Diceros bicornis minor: one gene and its partners. The protein of the gene in region 3 purifies or fractionates together with the protein of the main gene of each other region. This does not show direct contact. Links are inferred from orthologs where the notes say so. Each region holds a gene or a part of one and is shown on either strand. Other genes may lie near its edges.

Region 1 (7,968 bases), on a different chromosome or scaffold from region 3:
TCATGCATAGTTATGTGAATGAATGAACTAACACATACAAAGTGGCTGGTAATTAGTAGATACTCAACTATCTGCCCAGTCTTTTCTTGACCCATGCCTGTACTGCTTAATTCCATAAACAACCTATGAAGCAGATTCACTGAAACTCTGAATGAAGTATGATTTGGGACCCTTGATGAACTGGCGATAATCTGTACATAAAAAAAAGCTGTCAGGTAAAGAAAAAAACAAAATCACTCTTCTCACCTGGAGTTTCTTGTGTTCTCCAGATAGTTTTCTTTGAGACTGTTTGGCTTACAACAGTATTTGAAGATGGTTCATCCTCTAAAGAATAGACATGAAAATTGTCAAAATTCAGAATATATGATCTAGGTAGAGATTATGCATATTAATAGCAATATATAAGCAGAAATACAAGTAATTCATTTCTTTAGAAATGTGTAATTAGGTTTAGCAAAACTTAAGAATTTAACTAGTCAGAAATACACACTCTTAAGACAATATAAAAATAAACTATTCACCACTGATGTTTTACAACAAAAGTATATTTACTTTAGAAAATTTAAAAGATGGGCTTCTTGTTGTTAGTGCTGTGGAGTCGATTCTGACTCCTAGTGACCCTGTGTACAGCAAAGCAAAACCCTGCCCAGTCTTTTTGGCCATCCTCTCACCTTCGGTGCTGTATCAGACAATGCTCTGTTGTTATTCATAGGGTTTTCATGGCCAATTTTTTTTGAAAGTGGGTGCTCAGGTCCTTCTTCCTAGTCTTAGTCTGGAAGCTCTGCTGAAACCTGTTCACCGTGGGCGACCCTGCTGGTATTTGAAATATCGGTGGCATAGCTTTCAGCATCGCAGCAGCATGCAGCTGCCACAGTGTGCCAACTGACAGACTGGTGGTGTGGTTCCCAGACCAAGAAACGAACCTGGGCCTCAGTGGTGAGAGCCACCAAATCTTAACCACTAGACCCCACCAGGGCTGGCCTAAAAGATGGGGTAGAGTTTCACTAATGATGTGGAAAAAGCAGAAGAGTGAAAAACGTTTAGATTCTTATAGACGTACTAAAATTGAGGTAAAACCTTTGTGTGTTAAAAAAAAATTAGCTAGTATAACTGCACTAGGCTCTGTGGGAGAGTCAATACAATGTAACACATATTTATTGCCTACTATGTGGAAAGCATTCTTCCAGATATTGAAGGAGATACAGAATTAAGGCAACTACTAAAGTATAACAAGGCCCTTCAAATATATATAACAGGATCTGTCTTCAGGAAGTTTATCTTAAAAGAGAGAGAAAACTCATATATATGGGCTAACCTGTCTTGAGTTGTTACATCCAATAGTAACTTACATATCTTTAACACAAAGTTTCCAAAATCAACACATCTTCAAATGTGTCAGCAGGTAAACGTGCAGTCCATTACTCTGAACTGAAAATCTACCTCCTCTTCATATCCATCAACGGTCTACCACTAACTATGTAATCCCATTGTGATTCAAATCCCCTGATTTTTACCTCATAAGTGCCTTACATGGGGCTAACATGCAACTTCACCTATGTGTGTTGGGGGGGGAAGGCAGGGTGGGAGAGGATGGATTAAGGAAGTTGATTCACCTGTGACTTACCTAAAACTATATACCTTGTCAGCATCCTTTTGGCCCATTCAGACGAAAACTAATTAGAGTCGTGCTTTGTCAAGCTCCTTAACCACTGAAGTTACACTGAGGGCCCCCAACGTGGCGAATTTCTGGCAGAGACCACCACACTGAAGAGAGAGCGATCAGCTCAAGTTTATCAGACAATGAGGAGCTTCAAGTTCAGGATAAACGACTTACCCCGTTTCAGGTAAGTATTTGGGTGGGGTCTCAAGTCAATTCACCAATCACGCTATCCCTCCAAACGCCCACTCACAAAATTTCCCCTCCCTCTCCCCCCACCTGGGTAGTGACGGAAAAGGAAGGAAAGGTTACATTAGAACCACGCTTCTCAACTGGGGACTTCTGGCCTCAGAGTTAAAGGAGGAAATGGAAGTGGCTTTGGTAGACACATCCGCAAGAGAGAGAGGAAACCGCAATGAAACCGAGCCTGGAGTGATTCGGCGTCCCGCCTAACTAGCCGTCCCCCGTGAAGGCCCGCAGAACGAGGCAATCCCGACACCCCTAAATTGATGCCTCGGGACGGGCAGAGCTCCGCGGCTCTGCCCAGGCCGCCCCGCAAGACTGCCTGTCCAGTCCTCCCGCCCGAGCCTCTTTCCCGCCTGCGCTTGGGCGGACCCCACGTAAAGGCGCACGTCCAGGGGGCGGGGGAGCCCCGGAGCCCCGGCGGGGATGAGTGCCGGGGAGGAGCCCGCCCGCCCGCTGCACGCCAACATCCCACGCGTGCCCGCTCGCTCGCTGGCTTTCGGCTGAGACCGTTACCTCCGCCGGCCTCACCTTCAGAGGAATGAGAGTCCCGTATCCCTCTCCTGGTCGTAACCGGAGACGGCTGCAGCGGAGGCTGCAGTGAGTGCTGCTGCTGTAGGCGAGTAACCCTTCGCGTCTGCATCTCCTCGGCTTCCAGACGTCGCAGCTGCGTCCGCCGCCGAGACCGAAGGTAGTAGGCGCTTTCTCTCACTTCCTCTTTCCCAGAGTCGGGCCGGAACTCTCGTAGCGGGATTCGTCTTCCCACCGGGGACTTTTCTTTGGCCACCCGGGGCTCGAAGTCACCGTACACTTCTGGCGGCTCTTCTGAGAACCTCACTTCCCGCCGGCCGTGGCGCGACGGCGGAGTTCCGTACGCAGGCGCATTACTGCCGCCGCCATTTTGAGGGGCGAGCCGGCATCTTCTTTCCCGCAGCGGGGCCCTGGGCGTGACGTACCATGCCCATTCTTCCCTCACCGGCTCCGCCCGCCGCCCCTCGCCCGCCATAGTTGTTGACGTAGCTTGAGTCGACCGCGAAGATGGTTTGGGGGCCCCTAGATTCTCCAGCCGTCGATGGCACTGGCTTTTCGGGGCTGTTGGGCGGTGGTCGCGGCCGTCAGGGAGGTAGTTGAGAGTCGCCGGGGCCGCCGCCTGCGTCGTCGCTGCTGTGCTGCAAACCTGCCTCTGGGCCCATGGTGTGTCCTGAGGGCTGTGGGAGAGGCAGTGCCTGTGCTGGGTCAGCTGCTGTGGGTCACTCCCGCCTCCTGGCTGAGGGCACCAAAGAGGAGGAGAAGAGGGAGGAGGACGTCGCTGTCCTTGGCCTTGGAGGAGGGAGGGAGGAGACGACGGAGAAGGGACAACTGACGGGGCAGATTTCCTCTCCTAAGCCCAGCTGCTCGTGGCAACTGTTGCCCGAAAGCAGGAGACGCCCGTCCTGGCGCCCAGTGCCGAGTGTCTGGGAAAGGCCGAGCAAGACGGGGGCGGAGGAGAAGTTTGCGTCCTCGCCCCCTGGCTGTTGCGCAGTTCTCCTGGAACCTTTTTGATGGACTGCTTCCTTAGCCATGCCTCTTCAAGTGTCCCTAGCAGAGTGAGGATAAGAAAGATACTTTTGCAGGTCTTATATCTTTTCTTGGAGAAATTTTTATTTTCAAGCTCCTTATGAAGGCAGGTATCCAGTTTTAAATTTAAGTGACCTGTTGCGAGTGTACAAAATCGTACCTACAGGCATACTCGGGTGGATTTCCATTTGCAAAATGTACGCAGAGCAAATAGGCTCTTATTCTTGGCTTTCGTATAAAGGCTCTGTGCCAGCAGCGCTCTTCGGAAACCTTGTTAGCGCTGTGTTACGGGCAGTGAGAAATGAGCAAATACTTTGCTTAAAGCCGCGCTGTCTTTTAACTTGTGATCCATTATTTTTACTTTGATTCTGGGCATGACTTGAAATACTGCGTTTGATTTAGGGTTTCCTGCGTTTAGTTTACTAAGAAAGCATGATAACTGTTTGTTTCACCTCCGTATACCATAGTTACAGATGTGAATAATCTGCAAATATCTAACCAAATTTAGACACACCGAGGGAAAGTTAAGTTAAAGTCTGAATAGTTACTGAAAAAAAGATTAATGTTACCTTCAAATATACACGCTTGTCTTGCAGGACTTTTCTGTAATTGATTTTAGTGAATAGATTTAAAAACTTGTAACTTATACCAATTACAATGAATGATTTTGTAAAGTTTGAAGGTATTTGTTTATTCTATCAAGTCTTTTAAACCCCTTCTAATGTTTTTGAGCGACTCTTGCTCAAACTAGGCACAGATTTCAATTTAATGAAATATTAAGGTGTACTGTGTTTTCACTAATAGTCTATAAATTTGGCCCCAGACACAAGGAATTACATACTTTAGAGAGTCACCTAGGTTTTAGCTTGTTAGGGATTTAGTTTAGTTTAGGTTTGTTTACAATATACAATATAGCCAAAGAAACTGGAGAAACAGTAACAAGGGAGATGCTTTTTTTCTTTTTAATCATTTATCTTAAGGGAAAATTAAAAGTGTATTCTTCTTTGTCAGCTTGAGTTAGTATATTTGGAAAATTTGTGAGAATTAACTTTTCTGACAAAATGCTGAAGAATATAGATACTTGGTAATACCTGGCTTTTATTTACTTATGTTTTAAGTAAGACTTTCTCTATAACGTGCCTATTCTATTACTCATTATTAACATATAATAGTAAAAGTTCCGTAATAGATGTAATTATTAAAGGATATAAAACCTCATAGTATTAATGTGCAAAGTTCATATTATGTACATTAATGCGTATATTAAGAGCCTCTTTAAAACATTTACCAGGACAAATGACTAAACAGAAATTTGGATACAGACTTGTGAAACTTAAGTTTGGGGTATACTAAAAAAGAGAGAAAGGACAAGAGGTTCTGCATATTATTGAACAATCAGAGAAGATGAGAGGTTCTACGTATTATTGAATAATGAGTACATGTGTTATTTTGTAATTAAAAATGCTTGTAAAGGCTTAGGAATGACTTTCCAAAGAAACGAATCATGAGAATCTTAAAGAAGAATCAGAGGCACGGTAACTGGAACATTAACATGTATATTTGCTTAGGATTTTCCGTCTTTTGTCTAGGTAATAAAACTACATAATCCTAGCTCTGCCATACCTGCCTCCCACACCTAGCAACCTTACAAATACCAACTTTAATAACAAGTGTGAGGTAAAGCTAAACTCTCATCAAACCAGATATTCTGCTGTAGATGTTTTCCAGACTACAAGGGTGGCCCAAAAGAAGTGACATTGCAGAGACAGACTCATAGCCTATATTATAAGGGAATTGCGGAGCCACTAATACGAAGAGGAAAATACTAAGAGGAGCTCTGGATGTTAGACAGTTACCTTGGGAATTTGAGATACGTGGAGGAATTCAGTGAATCGAAAGAGAAGACAGTTAAGAAAGGAAATGATTGTAAGAAAGAATACATTGATGTTAATAAATATATGAATTAGTGAGTGTATTCTTTACCAAGATGTTTAATAAATATATGAATTAGTGAGTGTATTCTTTACCATTAGGGAATTTGCCATATATTAGGTAGGAGAGATATACTACAAATTATAATTTAGATTAAATGATGCGTTAATTTATATATCTAGCTGTTAGGCCTAACTCTTGACACTGGATTTCTAAATAAAGCAGCTATTTTAAATGAAACATTTTATTTTAAAGTAATAATTTTTGTACATGAGTTTTTTGTTTAGAGTAGGCAGAAATACAATTATTTACAGATAAAGCACTGTCAATTTATTGTGCATAATATGCACATTTCTGGTCAGATAGGGAAATAAATAACTGGGGTTTTATCTTAGTAGAAAGAGGCAACATTGTTATTTTTAATAAGGAAAAGATGATTAAAATATTAGAGGAAGTAAATTAAAGACATAGTAGTTGGCTCCATTTATTCCCCATTCTCACAAGTGACAGAAAAAGTATTTTAAAGACTTTATACGAATGAAAATGTGTAGCTGGAAATGTTATACTGAAATTAAGAAAATTTAAACTCAGTGAAGTGAATGGAATATAATAAATATTCTTCCGCTTATTCTCTGTTGAATTAGAAATTGCAGTCAATTATTAAACATCATCTAAGAGTGTTTCCAAATCCTGTGACTTCTGCCAAAAGAGGATGATTGAGAGGTGGAGGCACTGATACATGAAGAATCATTTATCCAATAAATATTTGAGTTTCTGCTGTGTACAGTCAGACCATGTTGTAGGTGCTGGAGATTCAACAGTGAAAGAATAGACCAAAGGCCAAAAATCCTCCCTGCCTTCTTGGAGTTTATATTCTATGGGAGTCAGATAAAAAATCAAAATAAGTAAAATAGTGTGTTGGTCAGAAGTGTTACGGAAAAAAATGAGGAAAGGAGAAGTGAGATTTTGAGTAGATTTCTTCTATATTGTCTTGAATTGGTGTAGGTCGGGAACAGAAGTTTTAGATTTACTTAACTTTGCCCCTAGCCAATTATGTGTTCTTGGGTAGATTGCTTGCCATCTCTCCGTTTTCACATTTGCGAAATTACTAGATCAAAATAATAGCTACTCTTTATTCATCATTTACTACTATCATTTAGCAGACACCGTTAAGTACATTAGCGCATTTCCTCACAACCACCTTATGAGGTACGTAGCGTTGTCCCCAGTTGACAGGAGCAAACTGAGGTTTAGATTAAGCAACTCGTTTGAGGCCAAGCACCTAGTAATGGTAGAGGCCGGGTTCCAAGTGTGATGTCTGACTGGTGCTTGCCATCATCATTGGGTAGTGCCTCTCACTGTGTTGGTTCCATGGGTTCTTCCAGCCTATGCATTCTAGATCATTGTAAGGGTTAGGGTCGTCCGATGCGCTGCGGAGATGCCTGCTTCCCGTCAGACAGCAGCACGGGAGCCGGGACGGGTGGTTCTGCTGCGCGCGCTCACCACGCCTCTTGCTCTGGCGGGGCTGGCTGCGGGGGAGTGGAGAGACGTGCGTGCGGGCGACTGGGGAGGAGGAGGAGGGGCCGGGCGACTACCAGTCCCGGCATTCCGCGGGCCCTCCCCGCCCGGAGGTCACCGTCACGTCACGTGGACAGGCACAGGGAATACGTTCTGTTCCGCCGCGTCGGAGGGGTGCAGCCTCTGGTTGTGGGGCAGAAAGAACACGCGAAGGGCTCCGCTGACATTGACAGTGGACGGTTTAAAACCTCGCTAGGATTTGTAAGTAAACAAAATGTATATACAACCTTTCCATGTTTTAATGTTTGATCTGATATCTGATTTCGAAACATCTTTCAGAAACGATCCCTCCCCACCCCCACCTCCCTACTGCAAAAACCCTAAGCGGAGCAGATTGGGGGTATATTTTTGTTTTGTAGTAAAGAAAGATAAACAGAACCTTATAAACCTTAACACTAAGATGGGAATAAATGTTTGGTTTGGACTTTGAGAAGGGAAGCAGAATTCCTATAAGGCTCAGAATGTAAACGGGGAATCAGACTACCACTGTAGGTGGTGATTACTTCCCTTTACCTCTGCCAGACAGGATCCCGTCTTTGGTCATCTTAATCCTTATGAGATAGTACCCCCCCCCTTTTTTTTAGCTTTAGTGGTGCTAAAAAGGGCAAAGTTTTGAAGTTTTAGTAAGATTCTACAATTACCATTTTTCTTACATATTATATATGTATTCCCGATTGTATTTCATACCCAATGAGAGTTTACCCCTTTTTCCTTCCTTCACGGAAGTGTCTAGCTCTCTACTTTATCAGTAGTGCTTAATTGTTAGACTTTATATGCAGATGCAGAAGTGTTATCTTAATCTGCTTCAACATACTGTTTTTGTTTCATTTTTACCTGTCTTTAGGTTTTAAAACATTTTATTTTGAATCTATATGAGAGATCCTTTCCTTGTCTCTATTTTTTAAGTATTAGGGCGGTGGCAGCTATCCGTATTTTTCAGCTTTATTTTTCAAGCACATGATTAGTATATAAACGGCCAGTGGAAAATCATTTAATGGAAA
Region 2 (7,919 bases), on a different chromosome or scaffold from region 3:
TGTGTCTTTTATTTAGGACCAGCCTCTCTCCTCCCGAGGTGTGGCAAGATGACCTTACCACAAGGAATGCAGGTAGCGTTCAGCCATTTCTACAAATGGCATTGTCTGCCCTTAGCCGGGGACTGAGCAATGTTCGGACTGGGGAGACCTTGGGCCCTGCACTGATTCCATCACTCACCAGCCCTTCTGGTAGCACCCTTCTGCTCCCTATCAGCCAGGCCCAAAGACCCACTGATTTCCATGATGGAAACTCTGCTAGCTTTGGAACTTCTCAGGAAGTTCAGCAGTAAAACACCGAAAACCAAAAGGGCCCATGGGATGGGCTAGTCTTTGCAGCAGCAAGAAAGGGGTGCTTTGATGACTGTACTTTCCTCCTTCACCAGGCTAGGAACATGAAGCCCAAAGACAGAGTAGAAATGGCAGCTACCAGAGTTGAAAATACTCTCTCTCCTTGGCAGTCTCTAGTCCCAGCAAGCCTCTCCTTAATATCTCTTCCTTCTGTCCCTTCTTTTTCATTCCCCATAACACTCATCTCTTGTTCATTTTCAATCAACAAATATTTGAGCAACTATGTGCATCTATGTACCAGACACTGTTCTAGATGCTGGGAATGCAATCACTTGCCCTCTTAAAAATTACATTCTAGAGGAGGAAACACGATAAGTAAACAGCTGAACAAGATGTATTCAAACAGTAATAAATGTTATGACTGAAATAAAACAGGATGATATGACGGTTTGCTGTGCATGTTGGGGGAAGGGTTAACATAGATCAGATGATCAGGGAGAGCCTCACTGAGGACTGAGGTCTGAGCTGCGATGTGAATAACAAGAATGAACAAGCTATTTACAGACAATGAAATGAGAAGGGGGCAGCAAGTCCCAGGCACAAGGAAGAGTAAGCAAAAAAACTCAAAAGAGGGAATAAGCTTGACACAAATAAGGTATAATGAGGCTGGATCAAGGAGGAAAGGGGCAGGAAACGAGAGGAAGGCAGGGACCAGATCACAGGGCTTTGGAGAACACAGAAAGGAGTTAGGATTTTATTCCATGTCAACAGCAGACCACTGGAGGGTTTGAAGAAGGGCAGTGATATGATCCAATGTGCCTTTTTAAAAGGTTACTGTGGTATGTATGTTTGTACATACCTGGATGAATATGGAGGAAGTAAAGTGCATGAGGGGACACACTCCAGCACTGATAATAACAAATGTGTAATTTTCGTTATTTAAAAATCTAATAAACAAACATTTTTGCTAACAAAATAAAAATTAAAGTATCATTTTGCAAGAAGAGAACAGATTTTTTTGTGTGTGAGGAAGATTAGCCCTGAGCTAACATCTGTGGCCAATCCTCCTCTTTTTGCTGAGGAAGATTGCCCCTGGGCTAACATCCATGCCCATCTTCCTCTACTTTATATGGGACGCCGCCACAGCATGGCTTGACGAGCGGTGTGTAGGTCTGCGCCCAGGATCCGAACCTGCGAACCCTGGGCTGCAGAAGCGGAGCGTGTGAACCTAACCACTACGCCACCAGGCCGGCCCAGAGAACAGATTTTAAAGGAGTGAGGATGCAAACAGAGAGTCAGGTTAGAAGGCTATTTCAGTAATCCAGGTGAGAGATTATGGTGACTTTGAAGGAAACTACTGTACCAGGAGCTATAGTAACTACAGCCTCCTCTCAGGCTCTCCTTCTAAAGCGCCACAGACAATCCTTACATGCTTACCCTTCCCCACTCCATTGCTTGGTATATTCTCTAGAGTACACTACCATGAATTCACTCCTCAAGACACGTATGGCTCTCCATTGCCTACAGAATAAAGTTTAAACGCCTTACCCTGGCATTCAAAGCCTGACACATTGTGGCCCAGGCTCCCTCTTCACTCTTATTTCTCATGACATTCTGACTTCAACCTCCAAAAGACAGCATTTCCCTCTCCCACCCTCTCCTCCATTTAATCAACACTTGCCTGTTCCTCTGACCTCCCCCAAAAGTCTTCCCCAACCATCCTGCTCCCCAGTGACGCCAAATCCTGTGAATTCTCTCTACACTTAGGACATGGGCCAGGCCTCAAAGAACAACCCTGGGTTCTATTTAAGTCATCATACCGCAGAGCAACTCGGTGTAGCTGATTACTTTCAAGAAATAGCTATATCATGTTCTGGAAACCAGACTGCAAGCTTTTAGAAGATAGGGCCAGTGCCATTTTTTTTTTTCCTTTATAAAAATAAAGCAGGAAGAAGAAAACCACCCAAAGACACTGGCTGCTCTGGGTGGCCCCTTCTGGACACCACCATCCACTCAACTCAACTCAATGTTCCCACAACACACGGGGCAGATCCATGCCCCAGGGCCTTTTCACTAGCTATTACCTGCCGCTGGCACAAGTTTTCCTGATCTTCTTCAAATGTCACTTTCTCAATAATTCCCCAGACCACTTAACTTAAAATGCCCTCCTGAACTCCTGAGACCCCTCAGTCAGTTCTTTTTCCCATTGCATATATTACTTTCTAACACACTATTTCATTTATTTCCTTATGTTTATTGTCCAATTCCTCCCACTGGAATGTAAGCTCCATGAGGACAGGGGATTTCATCTGTGCACTGATGTATCCCCAGTCTCTCTACCCTAAAGGTCCAAGCACTGCCCCTCCTACCCCGCCCCGGCCTCTAGGCTCGGTGCAGCGGAGCGTTCCCCCTCTGCGAGTCCCGCAGGCCCTCGTGGAAACCAATCCGCCCCTCCTCGACACACACAACGTCGTCAGCCTCCCACAGAGCCCTTCCAGATCCCCTCAGAGGTCGCCCACGTGACCCGTCAAGCCCTCCCCCCACCACGTCCCTCCACTCCCCCACGTGCCCCCACGTGCCCCCAAGCCGTGCCGGCGGCGCTCACCGTCCGGGTCCTTCTCGCGGTAGCACTGGTAGTGGCACTCCACCTCCATGTTCTCCAGAAACGACTTGACCTGCTCCTCGTCCTGAAAGTCCACCAAGCCAGCCATGGCCCTCGCTGCCAAGCCGCGATTACCCAGCCGCTCAGCCCCGGTCGCGCGCACCCCCGCCCCGTGGTCACGTGAGCCGGCGAGGCGGGGCCTGGGCGGGGCGCGCCGCCGGGGTCCGCGCTCGCCCGCCGGGGTGTTCCGGAAGGCCGGCGCTGCGAACCGGGGCTTCTACCTGGTTGTTAAGGTCTTCTGCCGTCACATCTGTTCCTCTGCTGAGCCCATTCCTAAAGCTGGTGGCGGTTTTTCTGCAGCGCTTTATCTGTGGCAGCTTTGTGGCCTTAATGACTTTCTGCCTGCAGTCATTTATCCCTTTCTCTAGCCATTCATTCGTTAGTTCCGTAATCCCTAAGCGCCTACTGTGTGCCTCACCAAGTGCTTGGTTCTAGTAAGACAACAGCTGGGAAGTATGGTCCCTGCCTTTAAAGAGCGTGAAGTTTAGTAGGAAGACATTTGTTTATTCAGTCAGCAAGCACTTTGAGCACCTACTATGTGCCAAGTGTAGCTGAACAAACCAATATTCATAAGTTTGTACAAGTGCAATGAGCAGTCGGGTTCGTCTGCATAGTATTCCTGCCAGAATCCCTGCCTCCAACACGAATGACCTAAAGAATGAATGGCTGTGGGAGAAGATGACCGGAACACAGTAGCTGCAGGAGTTGTAGTGATAATACTGTTATAATAGCTAACGCTTAAACAGTGCTGAACTATGTTCCATACTGTAAGAGCTCTATACAAATTTTCATTTAATTCTCACTGTGACACTCACTGTGACACTGTGGGGTAGGTATTATTATCCTCATTCTGCAGATGAGGAAACTGAGGTACAGAGAGTTTGAGTAACTTCTCCGAAGTCACACAGGAAGTGCAATAAATATTTTTTGAATAAAATAGTGAATGAGGTATAAGAGGAACATGTCAAGGAAATGGGGAAGAGAGAGGAACTTCACGTGGTTTTGTCTTGTTCTGCTCAGAATCATCAGTTCCATAAAGCCTAGACTGAAAGCCCTCCAAAGACAGTTTCTATGCATCTTTGAATCCCATCCAGCCCTAGTCTAGAGCCCTCAGAGAGCTCAATCCATGGCTTCCCAAGTGGCTCCACTGTTAACCTATCCCTGATGGCATCGGAGATTGGGCTACTTCCGACCACTTCCTTATTGGGGAGCAGCTTACTGCAACTGCGAAATGTCTTTGAAATCCCAGTTTTATTTTTAAAATTCATATAATTTTACGTTCAATTCTATAATACATCTTTCATAGGATAACACAAGATTGCCTTTTCCCAAAGCTGTTGAGTAAAATCGACATTTCAGGTGATATGCCATATTTACCTGTGGTTTCTCACACCCCTGATGACCTTGTGAGACCCCAGTACATGCGCCCCAGGTAGGGAAGCCCTGACCTTTGATTTCAAGTTCACCTTCCTTAGCCTGGCCTTCAAGGCCCTGTGCAATCTGATGCTAGCCTTGTCTCCTGCCTCTTTTTCCTCACACCCCACCCAACCATCTGTTCTCTGAACAGGTCCCAGGTTTGTGTCCCTGTTTACTGCTGCTCTTGATGCCCGGACCACCCTTCTCTGCCCAAATCAGAGATCTTCTCCTCCATAAAGTGTTCCCAGGTGCAACAACACCCACTCCCAAAGTAGATTTAGATGCCCCCATGTCAGTGTTCCCCACCAGTTGGTTTATTCTGATATGATGTGGTAGGAAAGGACTGGCTTTGGAGAGCAGACAGATCTTAGTCAGAATCCATGTCCCATGTTTACTAAATTGTGACGTTGATCCAGTGACATTTGTGAGCCTGATTCCTCTTCTGTAAATGCAGATCCCTTGTATGGCTGTCAGTAGGACTAAAAGTTCATGCATGCAGTGTGCTTAGCACAGTGCCTGGCTCAGAGTCATTCCTGTTCCAGAAATGTTTCTTGTCATTCCCATAATGGCATGAAGGTCTGTGTCCCCCACCAGACTGTGATCTTTATGTCCCTTGTGCTGGTCACAGAGCCAAGAACAGAGTCGGGGTTGGTGAGGGTAATGTGGATAACTATAGTTAGGGACTGGCCACAAATGATACTTTTCCCTTAATCATATTTGCTGCGTTGAACTACGTTGAAATGAGACCACCTGAGCAATAGAGGGCGATAGAGGGTTGGGGGAAAGGTGGAAGAGAGGCTGGGCCAAGTATGAAGTCACATATTTTTAAAGGAAATTTAAGGCCATCAAAAGGGCAGCCAGCTTCTTTTTTTAGTCCTGTCTTTATGTCTCTAGGTTTATGACCCTTTATTTTTACAATGTTCACATTTACTTTTTAATCTTGTTTTAATTATTCAAGTAATACATGAATATATGCTTATTGTAAATCAATCTTATGTTTTTTTGCCCAGTAACCCTTTTCTATAAGCATGATGCAGCTTGTAGACACTGTTCAGACTGTTGCAGAGAAATTGAAGGTCAGAGAAGTTAAGCGATTTACCCTAAAACACACAGTGAGAGGACTGGGAGAAACCAGGCCTCTTGGAATCCTAGAGTTCACAACAACCGTTCCAAATCCTGGGGGGAAGAATTCAAGAGCATTATAGCGCTCACCTCCTGACTCCAGACTTAAATTCAACTAATATTAATTGATTACTAATTATTAGTTTAGTACTTTAGATACATTATCTCATTTATTCTTCACAGTATCATTCTTCATTCATTCAGCAAACATTCCCTGGAAGCTTAATAAGGACCAGGGCTTAAGGGATGCAAAATTGAAAAACACAAGGTTTCAACAAGAACATGCGACTCTTAGAAGAGGAAAAGCACTGGTCAATAAACATTTGATGAGATTCTCTTCCTAATGATTAAAGGAAGGCAAATTAAAAACAGTGTGATATTTTTCATCTCTTAGATTAACAAAGTTTAGCATCTTATGTTTGTGAGGATGCTGAGAAACCAGCATTCTCATACACTTTTGGTGAGAATAAAGCTTAGCACCTCCTCTTTGGAGTGCAACTTGGTAATATTTATTAACATTTTAAATGTGCTTATATATTTTGGGGGGGGGATGGGAGAAAATGTTTGCAAACCATCTATCCTACAATGGACTTGCATCCAGAACACATACAGAACTCCTACAACTCAACAATCAGCAGACAATGTTTAAAAATTATTTTTTAATATTTTTTAGGGGCTGGCTGCCACTACTGGTGGCATAGTGGTTAAGTTCGCGCACTCCACTTCAGTGGCCTGAGGTTTGCAGGTTCGGATTCCAGGTGCAGACCTATCTACCACTTATCAAGCCATGCTGTGGCAGGCATCCCACATATCAAGTAGAGGAAGATGGGCCCAAATGTTAGCCCAGGGCCAATCTTCCTCAGCAAAAAGAAGAGGATTGGCAACAGATGTTAGCTCAGGGCTAGTCTTCCTCACCAAAAAAAAAAAAAAAAATTTTTTTAAACAAAATATTTGAGTGGACATTTCAACAAAGAAGACATATGGATGGGCAACAAGCACACAAAAGGCACTGAGCATGGGGAAATGCAAATAAAAATCCACAATGAGATATTGCCACACAACTACTAGAATTCTGTAATTAAGACAAACAAATACCAAGTGTTGATGAGGATGTAAAAAAACTGGAATCCATGGGACTGGCCCAGCGGCACAGTGGTTAAGTTCGTGTGCTCTGCTTCAGTGGCCTGGGGTTCACAGGTTTGGATCCCGGGTGTGGATCTACACACCACTCGTCAAGCCATGCTGTGGCAGCATCCCACATAGAAAAAATAGAGGAAGATTAGCACAGATGTTAGCTCAGGGCCAATCTTCCTCAAGTAAGAAGAGAAGGATTGGCAACAGATGTTAGCTCAGGGCCAATCTTCCTCACCAAAAAAAAACAAACAAAAAACAAACACTGGAACCCTGGTGTACATTTCTGGTCAGAATGCAAAATGCTGTAGCCACTTTGTATTTTTGTTTGTTTGAATTTTATTTTATTGTGGTAAGAATGCTTAACATGAGATCTACCCTCTTAAAAAATTTTTAAGTGTACAATATATTATTGTTGACTATAGGTGCAATGTACAGTGTTGTACAGCAGATCTCTAGAGCTTATTCATCTTGCTTAACTGAAACTTTATGCCCTTGATTAGTAACTCCCCAATTCCTCTTCCCCCAGATCCTGGCAACCACCATTCCACTCTTTGATTCTATGAATTTGACTATTTTAGATACCTCATACAAGTGGAATTATACAGTATTTGTCTTTCTGTGACTGGCTCATTTCACTTAGCATAATGTCCTCAAGATTCATCCACGTTGTAGCAAATTGCAGAATTTTCTTCTTTTTTAAGATTGAATAGTATTCTGTTGTATGTACATACCACATTTTCTTTATCCATTCATCTGTCAATGGATATTTAGGTTCTTCTCACATTTTGGTTACTGTGAATAGTGCTGCAATGAACATGGGGATGCTAATATCTCTTCAAGATGCTGATTTCAATTCTTTTGGATAAGTACCTAGAAGTGAGATTGCTGGATCATATGGTAGTTCTACTTTTAATTTTTTGAGGACCCTCCATACTGTTTTCCATAGCAGCTGTACCATTTTACATTCTCATCAACAGTGAGCAGGGGCTCCAATTTCTCCATATCCTCGACAACACTTGTTGTCTTTTGTTTTTTTGATAATAGCCATTCCAACAGGTGTGAGATGATATCTCATTGTGGTTCTGATTTGCATTTTCCTGATGATTAGTGACCTTGGCTTGAGCATCTTTTCATATACCCATAGGCTACTTGTATGACACTCAAGTCCCTAGCTCATTTTTAAATCGGGTTATTAGTTTTTTGCTATTGAGTTGTAGGAGTTCTCCGCATATCCGGGAGATTAACCCCTTATCAGGTATCTGGTTGGCAAACATTCCCTCCCATTCCATAGGCTGCC
Region 3 (7,835 bases):
TAGATTCAGAGCCTTTGCTCCTGATGCTGTGGGACCCTCAATCTGCACAGAGGGACCCAGAACATTTTACCTCATTGGTGAAAATTAAGTAGAAGGAGAGCAGGAAGGTCATGAGCCCCACAAACATTCCACCCGAGGTCTCACTCAGCCGCTCCAGGAAGCCTGGCTGGGGGTCAGTCGTAATTTTGACATGTTCTCTCCTCTTACTCGAACTGGAATACTGAAGGAAAAAAAAAAACTCACAATGAAAATTGGCGTTAAAAATAAATTGAATTTTCCTATTTATTTATACTCAGTTTTTATTGATTTTTAATTACGTATGGTAAAAAAGCAGATATTAAGTGTACAGTTTGACGGGTTTTGACAAATGCATCCCCCATCTGACCAACAGCCAGACGGAGATACAGAACATTTCTGTCACCCCAGGAAGTTTCCTTGTGTCCCTTCCCTGCCAATCTTCCCCTCTCCCCACCCTCTGGAGGTACAACCATTTGAATTTGTATCACTGTAGATTAGTTCTGCCTCTTCCAGAACTTGGTATAAATGGAATCGTACAGCACACACTCTCTTTTGTCCAGATCCTTTAACTCAGCATGGTGCTCCTGAGGTCCATCTCTGTGGTGCTGGGTATGGCAGTGGCTTGCTCCTTTTCCTGGTTGATCAGTGGGCCACGGAAGAGCACACGTTTCTTGATTCATTCCCCAGTGGAAGGGTATCTTGGTTGTTTCAAGTTCTTAGATATTATGAATGACGCTTCCATGAACGTTCATGGACATGTCTTTATGCAGACGTGTGCTTCCATTTCCCTTAGGTATCGCATAGATACCTAGGAGGGGAACTGCTGGATCAGAGGGAAGATATATGTTTTTTAAGAAACTGCCAAATTGTTTTAAAAACAGGTGATTAGAGATACATTTTTAATTCAATTCACCAAACAGTGGCTGAACTTCCAGAGGGCTGTGATGGGCCTTGTAGGGGTAGAGAGGCTTTAGGGCCATTGAGTTACAGCACAAACAGCACTAGGCCATGCTGAGTGTCTGGTGAGAGAAGCAAATCCAGTGCTAAAGGAGTGACCCCTTCCTGCTGGGGGATCAGGGCAGGCTCCCTGTAGGAGGGATGTGAGTGAGCTCTCAGAGGCAGACCCTGGGCTGAGGGCATCCCCAGCAGGCGGAACTATATGAGCAATGGTGAGGAAGGAGGAATTGCTTCTCAGGGAACAGCTGCCTATCTGCTCTGGCTGGGTCGTGGCGGGTGTGGCGAGGAGACGAAGGCAGCTAGGCACGTCTCGGTGGGTTCATGGCAGGCCTCAAATCCAGAATCAGTGGATCAGGCTTTATCCAGCCAATAACAGAAGGATGGTTTGGAATGTGTCCGCTGCTGTCGAGAGTGTCGTCATCAAGGGCAGGACTCTGCAGCCAGAAGACTGGGTTTGAATCCAGGCTCTGCCGTGCACCAGCCAGGAGACCTCGGGCAAGCAATTCAACCCCTCGGCGCCCTCCATTTCCTCATCGGTAAAATGGGGATAATAATTCAACACGGAGGGTTGTGGGGAGAACCAGAGGACGTAATTATCAGCTGGCTCAGTGCCTAGGGCACAGTAAGCATGGCACAGCTTCTAACCGGTGGAAGGTTATCAGCTTTCTCTGTAACTGATACCAAGGCTGGTACCAAGGCTGGGGATGAGCTGACATAAGCCACAAAGATGTAAAATGGTTCCCAGATGAGCACTCAGGGTGAGCCAGGCCCTGAGTGCAGGACTGGGGGGATCAGAGGAGAGATTGCAGTCAGCCTCTGCTTGAAACAGGTGAAGGCCATGTTCTCTGAATTCTCCCCAAATGCCACGAGCCCAGGCCTGCCAGGGGCCAATGTCCACTGCATTCAGAAATGGTCTTGACTTTCCATGCCATCTGGAAACAGCGGAGCAACTTGCTGCAGGCAGGTAGGTGACCACCAGCCATCATAATGATGACAGTGGCAAACACACCAGTCTCTCACAGGCCAGTCACGTGCAAGCACAAGGAGGTGGGCGCTATCACTCCCCCACTTCGCAGATGAGAAAACGGAGGCTCAGCAGTGAAGCCATCAGCCCAGATCACTTAGCTTCTGACAGATGGAGTTAGCATTCAAATCCGGGCAGCCCAAGGCCACTCTCCTGCCACTCTGCCCTGGGCTGCATTCCTCACTTCTTGGGCTGTAATGAGAGGCGACCATGGGGGGCCAGCTGCAGGCAGGACGGGTCAAGAAAAGAAGCTGGTCCTGCTACTCCCCGCTTAGGAGTATGACACACCCAGTGACATGACACACCCAGCCCACATTCTGAATCCAGCTCCCAGCAAATACAGAGGCTCACGGACTTTCCTCTCTGCCCACTCCTCACTACCCACCCCCTCCCCTAGCTGGAGCGGCACCTTCCTATGCCTTTCTTCCTTCTCTTCAAGGCCATCTTTAAGCCCCTGATCTTGATGTTGGCTCCTTGATGTGTGTTAAATACATATATATATATCCTCAGTGACATATACCCTCCCAGTCCCAGCACTCAAGGACTGAAGCAATGAGCAATGAGTGGTGGGAACAGATGTCGACACATAGGCCCTTAAAATCATTTGCTGTGTAACCCTGGGTGAGTTGCACTACCTCTCTGATCCTGTTTACTCACTTATAAAATGGAGATGGTAACAGTACCTCCATCACAGGACAACTGTTACACTGAGTAAGAATTCTGTCGCCTCCCTGCTCCGCCCTACCATCTTCAGATCTTTCTTCCTCACCAGCCCTGGTGGCTCCTCCAAATGTGCACCCAGCTACTGGATGAATCAACCAAGGTTTGGGAGGAGAGGATAAGCAAATTCATCTACATTCCTTGGCGAAGGTCAGGTCCCAACATACTCGAGGTGGTCTCTGCCCACCAGGATTGTGAAGATAGGCTTTTTTTTGATGCCTTAAGTACCTACTATGCACAGTCTCTCTTAAACTTCACAGTAACAGATCCTTTGATGAAATATAAACAGCAAGAGATTGAGGCCACACAGCTACTGAGAGGAAGACTCTGGACTGGCCCCCAGGTTGGCCTGACTCCAGAGCCTGCAGTCTTCAGCACCTTCCCACGACACGTTCCCATGATGTGGCCTGCCTCTCCCGGGCAGACCCTGGGTCTCACAGACCACCTCTGAGGCTTTTCTTGGTGCAGCATTCAAGGCTCCAAGGCTAACACCAGGCAGAGTGTGCTACGGCTGTGGGTGACACAAACCCTGGGTGGGGGGGGACAGAGAGGATGCCTAGGGACAGAGGAGGGGCCTGAAAAGAGGGTGTAACAGGCCAGGGGAGAGTAGCCAGGACGCTCCACCAAAGCAGGAGGGAGGGATTGTCCGGGGCTGGCAGGGCTCCCGAGCTGGCTCCAGAAGCACTTTCACAGAGGATCGGAGTGGTGAGTCACCAGCTTCTCCCACACCCAGCGCCCTGGTGGGAGGTGCTGCTCGGTTTGTTGAATGAATGTTGGGCTTAAATGGAAAGATTCTGGCTGGCTGTGGGGAGAAGAGACCTGCAGCCTTTGGAAGAGAACCATCTTCTGCCAGGGTCTCTCTAACCAAATCCACGCTAGGAAGACGAGGGGCCCGAGAGCAGGGAAATGCTCCCTCTCACAGTCATCCTAACTTCTCCGCTCCCGACCTAGCCTACGCCCCTTTACAGCATCACAGCCTCGGTTTACATACCGCCGAGGGCGGGGAGCTCAGTGCCCGCCCGGACAGCGGCACCGCCGGACAGCCCGCCTGTCTGTCCGTTGCTGGAGAGCTCCACCTGGGCGGTCTCGGCTTCCCCACCCTTCCTGCGGAAGGCCCTCTCTCCGAGGTCCCGACCAGCTCTCCGAGTCCGCAAATCTGAGAACCCCGAGGGCCCAGGCGGGCAGAGGGAAGGAACGGAGGGGCTGCGGGGAGGCGCCGCGCACAAGCAGATCCCAACGCCGGGAACAAGACGTCCGCAGCCTCCCTCCCCACAAACCCGCGACCCGAGGATGAGGTGGACCGAAAGGAATCCGGACAGGCTAAGAGAAAAGAACGGACGGACTAGTTGCCGGAGGCACAGACACGGGCACGCAGAGGGTTTGGGGATGGCCGCCCCGACAAGGGTCAGACAAGCAAAATGGACCTCGGCGGCCCTCCGGGGAAGAGGAGGCCGCGGCTGATGGGGAAGTCTGGGTGTGGCCCGGCGGACCAGGAGACACTCACGTTCGCGGCCATGGTAGTACCCAGCTCGCCGCCCCCTCGCTCTGCTCAGCTAAGAAGGGGGCTTACGGCCCGAGTGCGGGGTCCAGTTGCCTCTCCTCTGCGTGAGAGCTGCGACAACCTGCGTTAAGCCCAGAACCAGAGTAGACACGCCAGTAGGTTACCGCCCCGTAGGCCCCCAGCTTTTCTGCTCATGCGCGCCGCACGGCCTCCTGGAAAATGTAGTCCAGGGTCAGGCGCTTTAGCTACAACGTTGCAACATGCACTGTCCGTCATTGATGCGCCTGCGCACTGCAAGCCTTTCTGGGAAATGTAGTTCCTACTCCCCAGAGAGTTGCTGAGCGGCGCGCGGCCTGCTGGGAAATGTAGTTCCTGGCTGAGGCGGGTCAGGCTGGGGCTGGGAGGGCGCGGAAGCAGGCGCGCGGCGGGCAGGCTCGGAGGGGGCGGGTCCGCGGGGGCCTCGGAGCCGCCCGTCGCGCCTGAGGAGAGGTCACGGCGTGAAGCCGCCGCCGCCGCTATCGCTGCGAGATCTGAGCGCTGGGCTGCAGCCATGGCCTACTGCCGGCAGGAAGGTAGGGAGGGCGGGCTGCCATGGAGACCGGCCTACGAGGGCCTGCAGGGGACACGCGGTCTAGGCAGGCCCCGGCGCCCAGCGACCCCACTGCCGGCAATGGCGACCTGGGCCGCGGCTCGGGGTACCCTCCTCCTGACCTTTGGAGCGGGCTGGGCGGCGGTCGCCACCCCCATTTTGCAGATGCGAAAACCGAGACTCTGGGAGGAACGAGGCAGGTCCAAGGTCACGGTGAGGCCGAACTCGGAGCGCAGAGGGACCCGCACGTGGAGACCTCATAAACTAGGCCGGAGGGGGTAAGGGAAGTGCTGAGCACGTTTCCTCTGGCTCGTAACTGGAAATGTATTGTTATTAATTGTTACTGTCCCTCTCACCACGCACCACGTGTTCCATTTGCGTGCGCCTTTTAACTGTCCCCAAAAGTTGCCGCACGGGTTAGGTGCTGTGCTGGAGTGGTAGAGGTGTCGCCAACGGGAACACGTATTGAGCCCCAACTACATATCAGGCACTGTTCAAGGAGCTTTATAAGGCTTATCTCATTGGTCTCACAGCGACCTTTGTAAGTCAGGCTCTGTTGTTATCCGCCTTTTACTAAAGAGTAAACTAAGACTCAGAGGTGACTTGGCTAAAGCCATGCGGCGGTTAAGGCGTGGAGCTGGGGTCAGAGCCCTGGCAGTCCAATTCCAGAGCTGCACTGTCCTATCTGGTGCCGGCTGGATTGCAGGGAGCCCTCTGCTGGGAACCCCCCACCCCCACCCCGTGACCCAACAAACCTGGGCTCCGCCTACCATCCCTCTGCTTCCCTGTTGTTACCTTTACCCGAGAGCTCAGAAGTGTCCAGGTCGGAGGTCCCAGGGCCTCCGGCACACACTGCCATTACTTGGCTCTTTATCCCTGAGCTACCACCTAACCCTCCAAGCCCCAGTTTCCAATCCTGTAAAATGAGAAGTTGGTCTTCATCCATTCAGCAGATACTCGTGAAGCACCTTCCCTGTGCCAGGTGATGGGGATGGTGGACACCTGAGAATATAAAGCTACAGAGAGAGTTGGAACTCATCTAGAAATTCTGTGGTGAATAGTCCCGCCCCTCAGTTTAATTCAGGGAATCTGAAGCCCAGAGAAGATGACCTACCCATACATCCAGTTAGGGGAACAACTCAGTCTAAAATGCTAAGCCTTTTCTCCAGTACCCTACCCTGCTTCTAGAATCCCTCCTCTTCCCTGGGTCATAAAGCCGTAGTACTCACTGATGTCCATACTGAGTACTATTTCTGTTGACTAACACTTCCTTGTGCCATGAACAGAAGTCCTCTGCCCTCACCACTTTGTTAGACAGTAGGTCTCTTGTTTTTAATTTCCTTTTTCTGAGTCTCTAATTTACTTCTTCATTTAGTAAATAATTTTGAGCCTGTTGGATATAATGAGGCTGTGCAGGTAAATAAGGCCCCTCTTGCCCTTGAAGATTTCTAGACGTCACAGGTTATCTGGGAAGGAGAGGCAGTTTCCATCTGCTACCAAAGCATGGATCCTTATCTTTTCCTGGTTGAAAGATCTCTCTCTTAGTTTGGCGATGAGAATTGAAAGCACTCACTTTCAGGCCTTCTCTAGTTTTTATCTTATCCATACTAGTGTCCCCTCAAGCTTCAACTTGTTTCTACCCACTTATTTTTTTATGCTTCCCATGGGACTTAAAAAAAATGATCCCAAACTATTTGCCATTTAAAGGCTCATGTGATCTAGCTCCCGCCCAATCTAGCTTGAGCCTCATCTCTTTCCACCTCACCACTGCTCAGCCACATTGGCCTCTTGGCTGTTCCCTTTGCCTGGTACCTCCTTCCTCCATCTCTTCCATGGCTGGCTCCTCAGCCTTCAAGATTTGGCTCAAATGTCACCTCCTCAGAGAGGTCTTCCCTGACCCTTTGTGTCTTTCACATCCTAAACTCTCTGAAATTACCTTGTTCATTTTTGTCATCTTATTTCCCGTCTGTCTTCTTGGACTAAGCTGAGAGCATTAGATGGGCCACATCCCCAGCACCTAGCACAGAGCCTGATGTACAGATGGATACTCAGATCTTTATTGAATGAACCCATATGCATGCCTGCCCTCTGTTCTGAGTGAATCACTTGCCTGCGCAAATTTACTTCAGGGGTCCATCCACCACGCAGCCTTCAGCACACAGGCCTTAGCTTGGCATTCACGGTGTTCCACAACGTGGGTTCAGCCTCTCTCCCTGGCTTTGGACCACCCATGCTTTTCTGTGTCAGCACCACACTGTTTCTTTTTTGAGTTTCTTCTAATGCTGAGCCTGCCCTCCCCTGTTCAGTCAACAAACATTGATTGAGCTCCTGTGATGCTCCAGCCACTGAGCATGTGAGCACAGATGACACAGTCTGCCTTTGTGGCATGCTGGGAGAGGTGGGCGCTCCTTCTGAGTTGGACATGCTGAGAGTCTGATGTGTAAAGATCCTGTGCATGTTTGTGGTCCCCGTTCTGGGGGAAATGAGACCACCCATCCAAGGGTTTTCTCTCACCTCCTTAATGGTGATAACCGTTCTGTCTTCCTGCCCTCTGCTGGGGCTGGGGTTTTCATGTCCTAATCCAGAGTTCGGTGTCTCCATTTACTTTTTCAACAAATATTGTTTACCCACTATGCTCTGGGCACTGTTGTAGGCTCTGGGATACTGCAGTGAATGGAATAGACAAATCCGTGCCCCTGAGGAGCTGACATTACAGTGGGGGAGACGGGTGGTAAACAGATATATAATATGTTAGGTGAGGAAAAGCACTTTGGAGAAAAAGAGGGTGAGAGATGAGGAGTGGTCAGGGAAGGTGGCATCAGGAGGTGTGAAGTTAGGGAGAGGGTGGCTCTGAGGATATCTGAGGAGAGCATCTGGAGAGAGAGCAGCCTGTGCGGAGGCCTAGAGGTAGGTGTGTGCTCAGCATGTCAAAGTAAAAGCAGGGAGGTGCTGGAATGGAGGGGGCCAATGGTGGGAGATGGGCTCATGGAGGTGAGGGATGCAGATCTTTCTGGATGTGTTTGATG
Region 4 (7,308 bases), on a different chromosome or scaffold from region 3:
GAGGGCTGGGCCCCAGGCGACATGGAAAGCTGAAAGTGGGCACGCTTGGTGTGTGGCCAGTGAAGGCAAGAAGCAGTGGTGCCGTCGCGGTGAGCAGAGTTTAGAATCATGGAGCTAGGGCGCAATCCTTGGTGGGGGACCTGAGCCCAGGAAAGGCGTCTCCCTGGGCCAGGCCTTGTGCTGGACACCAGGGTGTGGCAGAGACTAGGACCAGCAGGCAGAGCCCCTCAGTAGGGGATGAGCTGTGTGCTGGAGTCGGGGAGGGGGCCAGTGGCCCCGGTGCGGAGAGGGTGGGCGATGAGGGTCATGGGAGATCCTCAGGGTCACTCTCAGCTTTGTCCCCAAGGCCAGCAAGGCTGGTCACAGGGAAAGCCACTCCAGGCTATACTCTAACCTCTCCCTCACAGAGGAGCTACGCAATAGCTGGGCAGGGGCTCGTGTTCTGGCTCTGGGAGTATCCGGCAGCCCCGTAATCCTGACACAGGCAGCAGGCTGGCATGGATCTTTACAAAGACAACCTTTATTGACAGTCACAGACCACAAGGACAAGCTCTAAGGTGAAGGAGGGGCCCAGCCCCTCCCCCACTCACCAGGCCTGGGCACCTGCTGGCCAAGGGACAAGGTGAAGGAACTCCCCTAACCAGGGCCTTACCTACAGCCGAGGGGAGTATGGGGACCTCAGAGAGGCCCCAAGTGGAGCTGGCCCCGAGCTCGCCCTCCCTGTAGCCTGAGTGAGCACAGGGCCAGGACTCCCACCTGGTGGGCTGCGCCCAGGGCTTTTCTTGTCACTCAGGGCCAATGGAGGCTGGCAGCTGCCTCCCTTGGCACCTGAGACAGTGAAAGAAGTTACCTCCTGTCATGAAAAACAGACACTGTGAAGACAGACTTGCTAGGGGCCAAACCATTAATGGCTGCAGTGGAGACAGGCCCCTCTCCACCTGTGGCTTCATGAACTGTCCTTCTCTTCAATGATCTCCTGCTCTGAGGCCATGACTTTGCTCAGGTTCCCGGCTTCCCTCTTCACAACACTAAGCAGAGCCTGTGAGCTCTCCAGGATCTGGGAACAGAAACAGGCATGAGACGGTTCCTTCTGTCAGAAAACTCCTGCAGCCCAGCCCCCCTCACACATGGTGCCAGGGCCAGGCTGTGGGGGCTACGGGACAGGAGCTGCCAAAAGGAAGCCCCTGAGGGGACGGGCGGACAGGGTCAGTAGGGCACTTTTCCCTCCGAGTCTAGCCCAAAGCCCCTTCCTCGCACCCTGGGAAAGCCACACCAGGTGAGCCCTAGCCCCTGCTGCTACTCTGCTGCTTCCCCTGTGCTGCTCATGGTACCACTTAGGGTGCAAAGAACAGAACTCAGGACGCACCAGGCCCCACCGACGGCCGGGCTGTCACTCCACAGTGGGCCCGGCCACACCGGAGTCCTATCACCTCTGCTTGTGGGTGTCCCTAGGCCAAAAACCGCCTGGGGACTCCGCGAGCCCTACCTTGAAGAAGGCAGCCTCAGACTCTGTGATGGTCCGGTCAAGCTCTTTGTAAGAGGCGATCTTGCATGCCAGATTCTCGTTGACTAGGGCCAGCTTCTCTGTCAACCGCCTCAACTGATTATGCAGCCGCTGCTTCTCCTTCTCCTCCTTCTGGATCTGCCGGCACAACTTGTTCCGCCTCTGGCACAGGACCTCCATGCCTAGGGTGGGCGGGGAGGGGCAGGCGCTGTGGACCCAGGGCAGGAAGGAGAGCATCACCCCTCCCAGTCTGCAGCCCACAGCTTTGTAGCAGAGACGAGTGGTGGCGGGCGGGGGTGCCACCTTCCGCCTGAGCCCGGCCAGTGTCCACCTCCGGGGTCTAAGGGTTAAAGAAGGCACCGCACGAGACAGCCGGGGACGGGGGCGGGGGGTAGGGCAGGGGCCAGCGCATGCTCAAGCCCCTCATCCTCCTGCTCGCTCCATAGATATCCGGTCCTCGGCGATGCCACACTGTGGCCGCGCGCTGGGAAGATCCGCATGGCCTCCGCGCGGTCCGGCCGGACACCCACGCACTGGCCACGCGCTGCGGGCCATCGCGCCTGGGCCGGCAGGGGCGAGCCCCGCGCCCTCCCGGGGCTCAGCGGGCCCGCCGCGCGGCCGCTCACCCTTGATCAGCTGGTTGTTGTAGTCCTGCATCGCCGCGCCCTGCTCGGTCATGGTCGCCGCGCCCTCCTCGGTCATGGTCGCCGCGCCCTCCTCGGTCAAGGGCTCCGCGCCCTCCTCGGTCATGGTCGCCGCCCAGGCTCGGCCGCGCCAACCGCCGCTACCGCATCCTGCCCGCGCCTGCGCACTGCCTCCCGACGGCGCGCCCACCGTACGTCACTGCCGCGCGCCTCGTGTGCGTCATCTCCCTGCGCGCCCAGCCCTCCCTCACCGCCGGGCGTCGCGCCGGGCGGCTGTGGGAGCGGGTGGACGCAGATGGCGGCGGCGGCGGCGGCGCCGGGGCACGGCGACCCCGCGCCTTCACAGGAGCTGCTGGTGGCCTGGAATACCGTGAGCACCGGGCTGGTGCCGCCGGCAGCGCTGGGGCTGGTGAGGCCCGGGAGGAGGCTTTGTTGGGGCGCCCGCCCTCGGGTTGCTGCAGCGCCGTCCTCGCCGGCCCCTGTCCTGCCTCTTCTTCCACGGTCCCTCCTCATTTGGCTTCCCGCAGCCCTTCCCTGGCATCGGCCCGGCATCCGCGCGCCGCGGACTAGGGGCAGCGGGGTTTCCGCAGCCTCCCCTCCATCTGGCCCTTCCCCGCCTCTCCCCAGCCGTCACCGCCTTCCCCACCTCTTCGCTGTGTTCCCTTCTCCTCACGGTTGTCTGCGCTCCAGGCGTCCTCCCGGACCAGCGGTGCGGTCCCGCCGAAGGAGGAGGAGCTCCGGGCGGCGGTGGAGGTGCTGAGGGGCCACGGTCTGCACTCAGTCCTGGAGGAGTGGTTCGTAGAGGTGCTGCAGAACGACCTGCAGGCCAACATCTCGCTGGAATTCTGGAATGCCATCTCCCAGCGCGAGAACTGTGCTGACGAGCCCCAGTGCCTTCTGCTGCTCCTTGACGCTTTTGGCCTGCTGGAGAGCCGCCTGGATCCCTACCTGCATAGCCTGGAGCTCCTGGAGAAATGGACTCGCCTGGGCTTGCTGATGGGCACCGGTGCTCAGGGGCTGCGGGAAAAGGTCCACACCACGTTGCGGGGCGTCCTGTTCTTTTCCACTCCCAGAATCTTTCAGGAAATGATCCAGCGCCTGTATGGGCGCTTCTTGAGAGTCTATATGCAGAGTAAGAGGAAAGGGGAAGGGGGCACAGATCCAGAACTGGAGGGGGAATTGGACAGCAGGTATGCCCGCCGCCGGTACTACCGGCTTCTGCAGAGCCCGCTATGTGCGGGATGTGGCAGCGACAAGCAGCAGTGCTGGTGCCGCCAGGCACTGGAGCAGTTCCACCAGCTCAGCCAGGTCCTGTGAGTACTCCCGCCTGTGTGGCCTTGCCCTGTTCCTCCTTAGTCCCACTTGTTCCCCTGGGTCCAGCTGGCCTCTGCAGAGAGCTGGTGAGCTGGCTGGGGGCTCTGCCACCTGTCCTGATAGCCACGGGCATGACAAGGGGAGGGTCCCCAGAATCCCTGTGCTGTGAGTTTATACCTTTTGTTCTGGACGCAAGTGTGTCTCTCTGTCACTCAGGTAAACCTAGGGTTCCACGCTTTGCTTATGCTGAGACCTCATGTGGTTCCAAGTTTCCTGGGCCACGCAGAATTCTGCTGTGCTTTCTGTAGGCTCTCCAGGGGAGGAATGATGTTCGTTCTACCCTGTAATTGCAAAAAGTGGGCTTGTTATTTTTCTTCTCCAGAGAGAGTTGGACATTAGGCTGACATGCTGGGCAAGCGATTGCCTTTGTAGCCCTTTGAAGTGGAAAGGTTGTTGTCGTTGTCATTGTCGTTAGAACCAGGTTGTGTTGTATGGGTCCTACGCTCTCTGTGGCCATTTATGATGATTTTGTCACTTCAAGTGGCGTGGCAGCAGTACAGCTGTTGGGGAGAGACTTTTAGCTGGACCCAGGGAGTGGTACTGTTGCTGGCAGGGGTCAGGGAGGCCCTGAAGGGCTTCTGCTGGGTTCATCCCAGGTGAAAGTGACGCAGAAAAGTTCTTTTTCATTTTTTCTTGCATCTGTTTGCCATCGTAGACGAGAGTATGCGCTGAAAGGCACTTAAAGACAGCAGTATCTGTATTTATGTGGCCAGAGTAGGGATGTATTTGGGTGTTGTTTCACAGCCGTTTCTAGATGAGGCCTTGGTCCCTGATAGCCACACACGCTGCTCACCTGGGGAAGGCCAGTGCCCTGGCCTGGGCAGAGATGCCAGCTGGGGAGGGCGGGCAGTGGCTTGTCCATGCTCCATCATCCCAGCGGCTTTGAGGAAGAACCCTTGGTACAGTTGTGCCCCCACCAGGAGGGCCCTGGAGAGGTGTGTGCCCAGTGTGGGGGGTGGGGGTGTGTGTGCTCTGCGTGTTCCACGGGCAGGGCTCTTCTCTAGACATAGGCTCAGTCTGCTGGAGCGGGTCAGTGCTGAGGCCGTGACCACCACCCTGCACCAAGTGACTCGGGAGCGGATGGAGGACCGCTGCCGGGGCGAGTACGAGCGCTCCTTCCTGCGTGAGTTCCACAAGGTGAGGACGTCCCTCCTCGAGCCTGATCCCTGGGGATGGGGGATAGGCTTCTGGCAAACCTGAGACTCCGGCTTTGGAAGCAGCCAGAGTGTGGAGGCCAGTCCTTCTGGGCCTGCCCTAGAGACAGCAAGGAAAGCCTGTGACATGCTCGGCGAGGTCTGTGCAGAATCACCTGGTTAGAGGCAGTGCCAAGGTCTGAGATGTCCCATTGAGGGGCCTCAGAGTGCCCACGCTGTTGGGTGTGGTCTGGGGCTCTGCTCTGGGCTCCCCAGAGTCATGGAGCAGCTGGCTCCAGCCTCAGCGGCCGTCTAGCCTGCTTCCACTTGCTACCTGTTCTCCTCGGTTTCCTAGTGTCCACCTTCTGAGGGTGCAGATTAACCACAATGGGGGATTCAAAGCAAGTGTCTCTCCCCGCAGGAGTGGTCTGAAGTGGGTGGCAGCCTGGAGGCCTGGTAGGGGCAGCTGTGCTGCCTCCAGGTGGCAGAGTGTTGGGGTGGTCTCATCAGTGGTTGGGTGGTCTATGAGGGGAACGTGTGTGTCTTCGGGTTCGTGTGGCAGTATGTCCTGTAAGTTTATGTGTGTGCGCTCAGAAACGTTCTCACTATATGGTACGTTGTTTACACGTGGCGGGGGCCAGTCGTGTATGTGGCCTCAGGGCAAGTCTGTCCACTCAGGCGGAGGCGAGCACAAGCTGCTATGTGCCCTACGTTAGGGCCACTGTTGCCAGAGATAAGCATGGGCACTGAGGCACATGGAGGGGCATGGGGGTGCATTGATGGAGGACCTGGGACGCCACCTTTGTTTTCCTCATCCTGCTGATTTCCATGTGCTCCTGGCCTCCAGAGCAGGTGGCCTTGGGGACTCCCTGGGGCCTGGCCGGCAGAGTAGGTAGCTGTGGGCTTCTCCCAGCTTCTCTTCTGAGTCACGCTGGGTCTCAGCCCCCACCGCCCCACACCTGTGCTCTCCTGACAGTGGATCGAGAGAGTGGTCGGCTGGCTGGGCAAGGTGTTCTTGCAGGACGGCCCCACCAGACCTGCGTCCCCTGAGGCTGGCAACATGCTGCGCCGCTGGCGCTGCCACGTGCAGAGGTTCTTCTACCGCGTCTATGCCAGCCTGCGCATCGAGGAGCTCTTCAGCATCATCCGAGGTCAGCCCCCGGCCCACCTGCCTTCCCTGTGCCTTTGCCCTTCCGCTGTGCGGGTGGCCAGGGGCACCTGGAGCGTGCTGTCCAAGTGTGTCCCAGTGGAACTCCTCCCAGCCCAGTGTCGGGATCAGGTGTGGCAGGGTGCCTGATGGTGTTTCTGGGCGTTCACCCCTGCCCGTTGTTCCGTCCGTCTGCCCTGTAGGGCGTTGTGGTCAAGTGTGTGGGCATGTGAAGGCGCAGGGGCGATGTGCGGCACCTGCAAGTGTCGGTGCTGGTCATCAGATGTAGGTGTAGCTGCTGGAGCCCTAGGTCGGCACCTGCTATCTCATGTGCAGTGTGCGCGCCCTGGATGTGCGTGCAAAGCCTGGCCCTCTTCTTGCAGACTTCCCAGACTCCCGGCCAGCCGTCGAGGACCTCAAGTACTGCCTAGAGAGGACTGACCAGAGGCAGCAGCTGCTCGTGTCTCTCAAGGCCGCCCTGGAGACGCGGCTCCTCCACCCAGGTTCCTCGCGCTCTGCCAACCCTGCCGGCGCCCTGCTCCGCTCTCAGGGCCCAGACCCAGGAGCCCCAGGGTCCAGTGTCCCAGCCTGCAGGGCCTAGGCGGGGAGCGGGTTAAGTTTTGTGCAGTTTTCGGGGGGCTGGGGGACTCTCTGCTTCACCCTCCTTCAAAGGGAGTTGTGATAACTGACAAGTTTGGCCTGGGGGCAGCGGCGGTGCATGATCCCCTCAGAACAGACCGCCTGGTGAGGGGAGGGCTTGGATCTTGGAAAGTTCTGGAGAAAGTGTGAGTCGCGAGGGGGTGGGTGGGGAAGGGGGCAGCTTCAGTGGATTGCGCCAGTTTCCTGGGGAGTGGGGTCCAGTGGTGACTTGAAGACCACCTGACCAGTGTGCGGCTGCCCCGATGTCCCTGTGTTGTCCTGGGCGCCGCCGCGACCACGTCTCTTTTCCTGGCCGTAGGTGTCAACACGTGCGACATCATTACCCTCTACATTTCCGCCATCAAGGCACTGCGCGTGCTGGACCCCTCCATGGTCGTCCTGGAGGTGGCCTGTGAGCCCATCCGCCGCTACCTGAGGTGGGCGCCCTGCTGGCCCTGGGAGCCGCTCAGACTCAGGGCAGCCGAGCTCTCGTGGGTCCTGCAGCTGGGGGAGTGGCCCTCGGGACCCCAGGGCCCCTCCGTCCCTCCTGCTGGGCTGAGCGGCCTGGCCCTTCGTCTTGCTGGCGCCAGCTCCTGTCCTGTCGCTCAGTGTCACCATGCCTGTGTGCAGACTTGGGGGGCCCTGCCTGTGCCCCTCCCTCCCCCTGCCCTCTCCCAGCAGGGAGAGGTGCCCCTGCTCAGCTCTGCGTCATGCTGACCAGGCCCGAGGCTGTTGGGGCGGAGCAGGGCCCTGAGCAGAGACTTGGGCTGTCCGTTGGAGGACATGTTTGAACAGGGGCCGTGGCACAGCGGCCCAGAAACCTTGGGGCTGGGGCTGGGGGCATATGGAGCTGCCCTGACTCATGTC

What was found.
Region 1: the proteins of CHCHD4 (region 3) and TOR1AIP1 purify together in Homo sapiens (co-immunoprecipitation; 3 studies listed by BioGRID and IntAct, with this or other methods). This does not show direct contact. The link is inferred for Diceros bicornis minor from reciprocal best matches to the Homo sapiens genes CHCHD4 and TOR1AIP1.
Region 2: the proteins of CHCHD4 (region 3) and cytochrome c oxidase assembly factor 7 purify together in Homo sapiens (co-immunoprecipitation; 3 studies listed by BioGRID and IntAct, with this or other methods). This does not show direct contact. The link is inferred for Diceros bicornis minor from reciprocal best matches to the Homo sapiens genes CHCHD4 and COA7.
Region 4: the proteins of CHCHD4 (region 3) and SSNA1 purify together in Homo sapiens (co-immunoprecipitation; 3 studies listed by BioGRID and IntAct, with this or other methods). This does not show direct contact. The link is inferred for Diceros bicornis minor from reciprocal best matches to the Homo sapiens genes CHCHD4 and SSNA1.

Annotation. Positions count from the first base shown.
Region 1 is NC_080743.1:87,166,042-87,174,009, forward strand, and holds the start of TOR1AIP1 (torsin-1A-interacting protein 1), read right to left. Parts: upstream 3,014-7,968; 5' UTR 2,907-3,013; coding exon 2,432-2,906; intron 325-2,431; coding exon 247-324; intron 1-246. UniProt on the Homo sapiens protein: Required for nuclear membrane integrity. Induces TOR1A and TOR1B ATPase activity and is required for their location on the nuclear membrane. Binds to A- and B-type lamins. Possible role in membrane attachment and assembly of the nuclear lamina.
Region 2 is NC_080752.1:15,013,402-15,021,320, forward strand, and holds the start of cytochrome c oxidase assembly factor 7, read right to left. Parts: upstream 3,043-7,919; 5' UTR 3,000-3,042; coding exon 2,894-2,999; intron 1-2,893. UniProt on the Homo sapiens protein: Required for assembly of mitochondrial respiratory chain complex I and complex IV.
Region 3 is NC_080741.1:88,706,177-88,714,011, forward strand, and holds the start of CHCHD4 (mitochondrial intermembrane space import and assembly protein 40), read left to right. Parts: upstream 1-4,803; 5' UTR 4,804-4,811; coding exon 4,812-5,022; intron 5,023-7,835. Other genes in the region: TMEM43 (transmembrane protein 43), read right to left, coding at 71-220, 4,224-4,235.
Region 4 is NC_080767.1:43,714,903-43,722,210, reverse strand, and holds SSNA1 (microtubule nucleation factor SSNA1), read right to left. Parts: upstream 2,289-7,308; 5' UTR 2,255-2,288; coding exon 2,131-2,254; intron 1,687-2,130; coding exon 1,487-1,686; intron 1,058-1,486; coding exon 947-1,057; 3' UTR 501-946; downstream 1-500. Other genes in the region: ANAPC2 (anaphase-promoting complex subunit 2), read left to right, coding at 2,444-2,557, 2,839-3,461, 4,527-4,659, 5,632-5,806, 6,186-6,305, 6,761-6,878. UniProt on the Homo sapiens protein: Microtubule-binding protein which stabilizes dynamic microtubules by slowing growth and shrinkage at both plus and minus ends and serves as a sensor of microtubule damage, protecting microtubules from the microtubule-severing enzyme SPAST.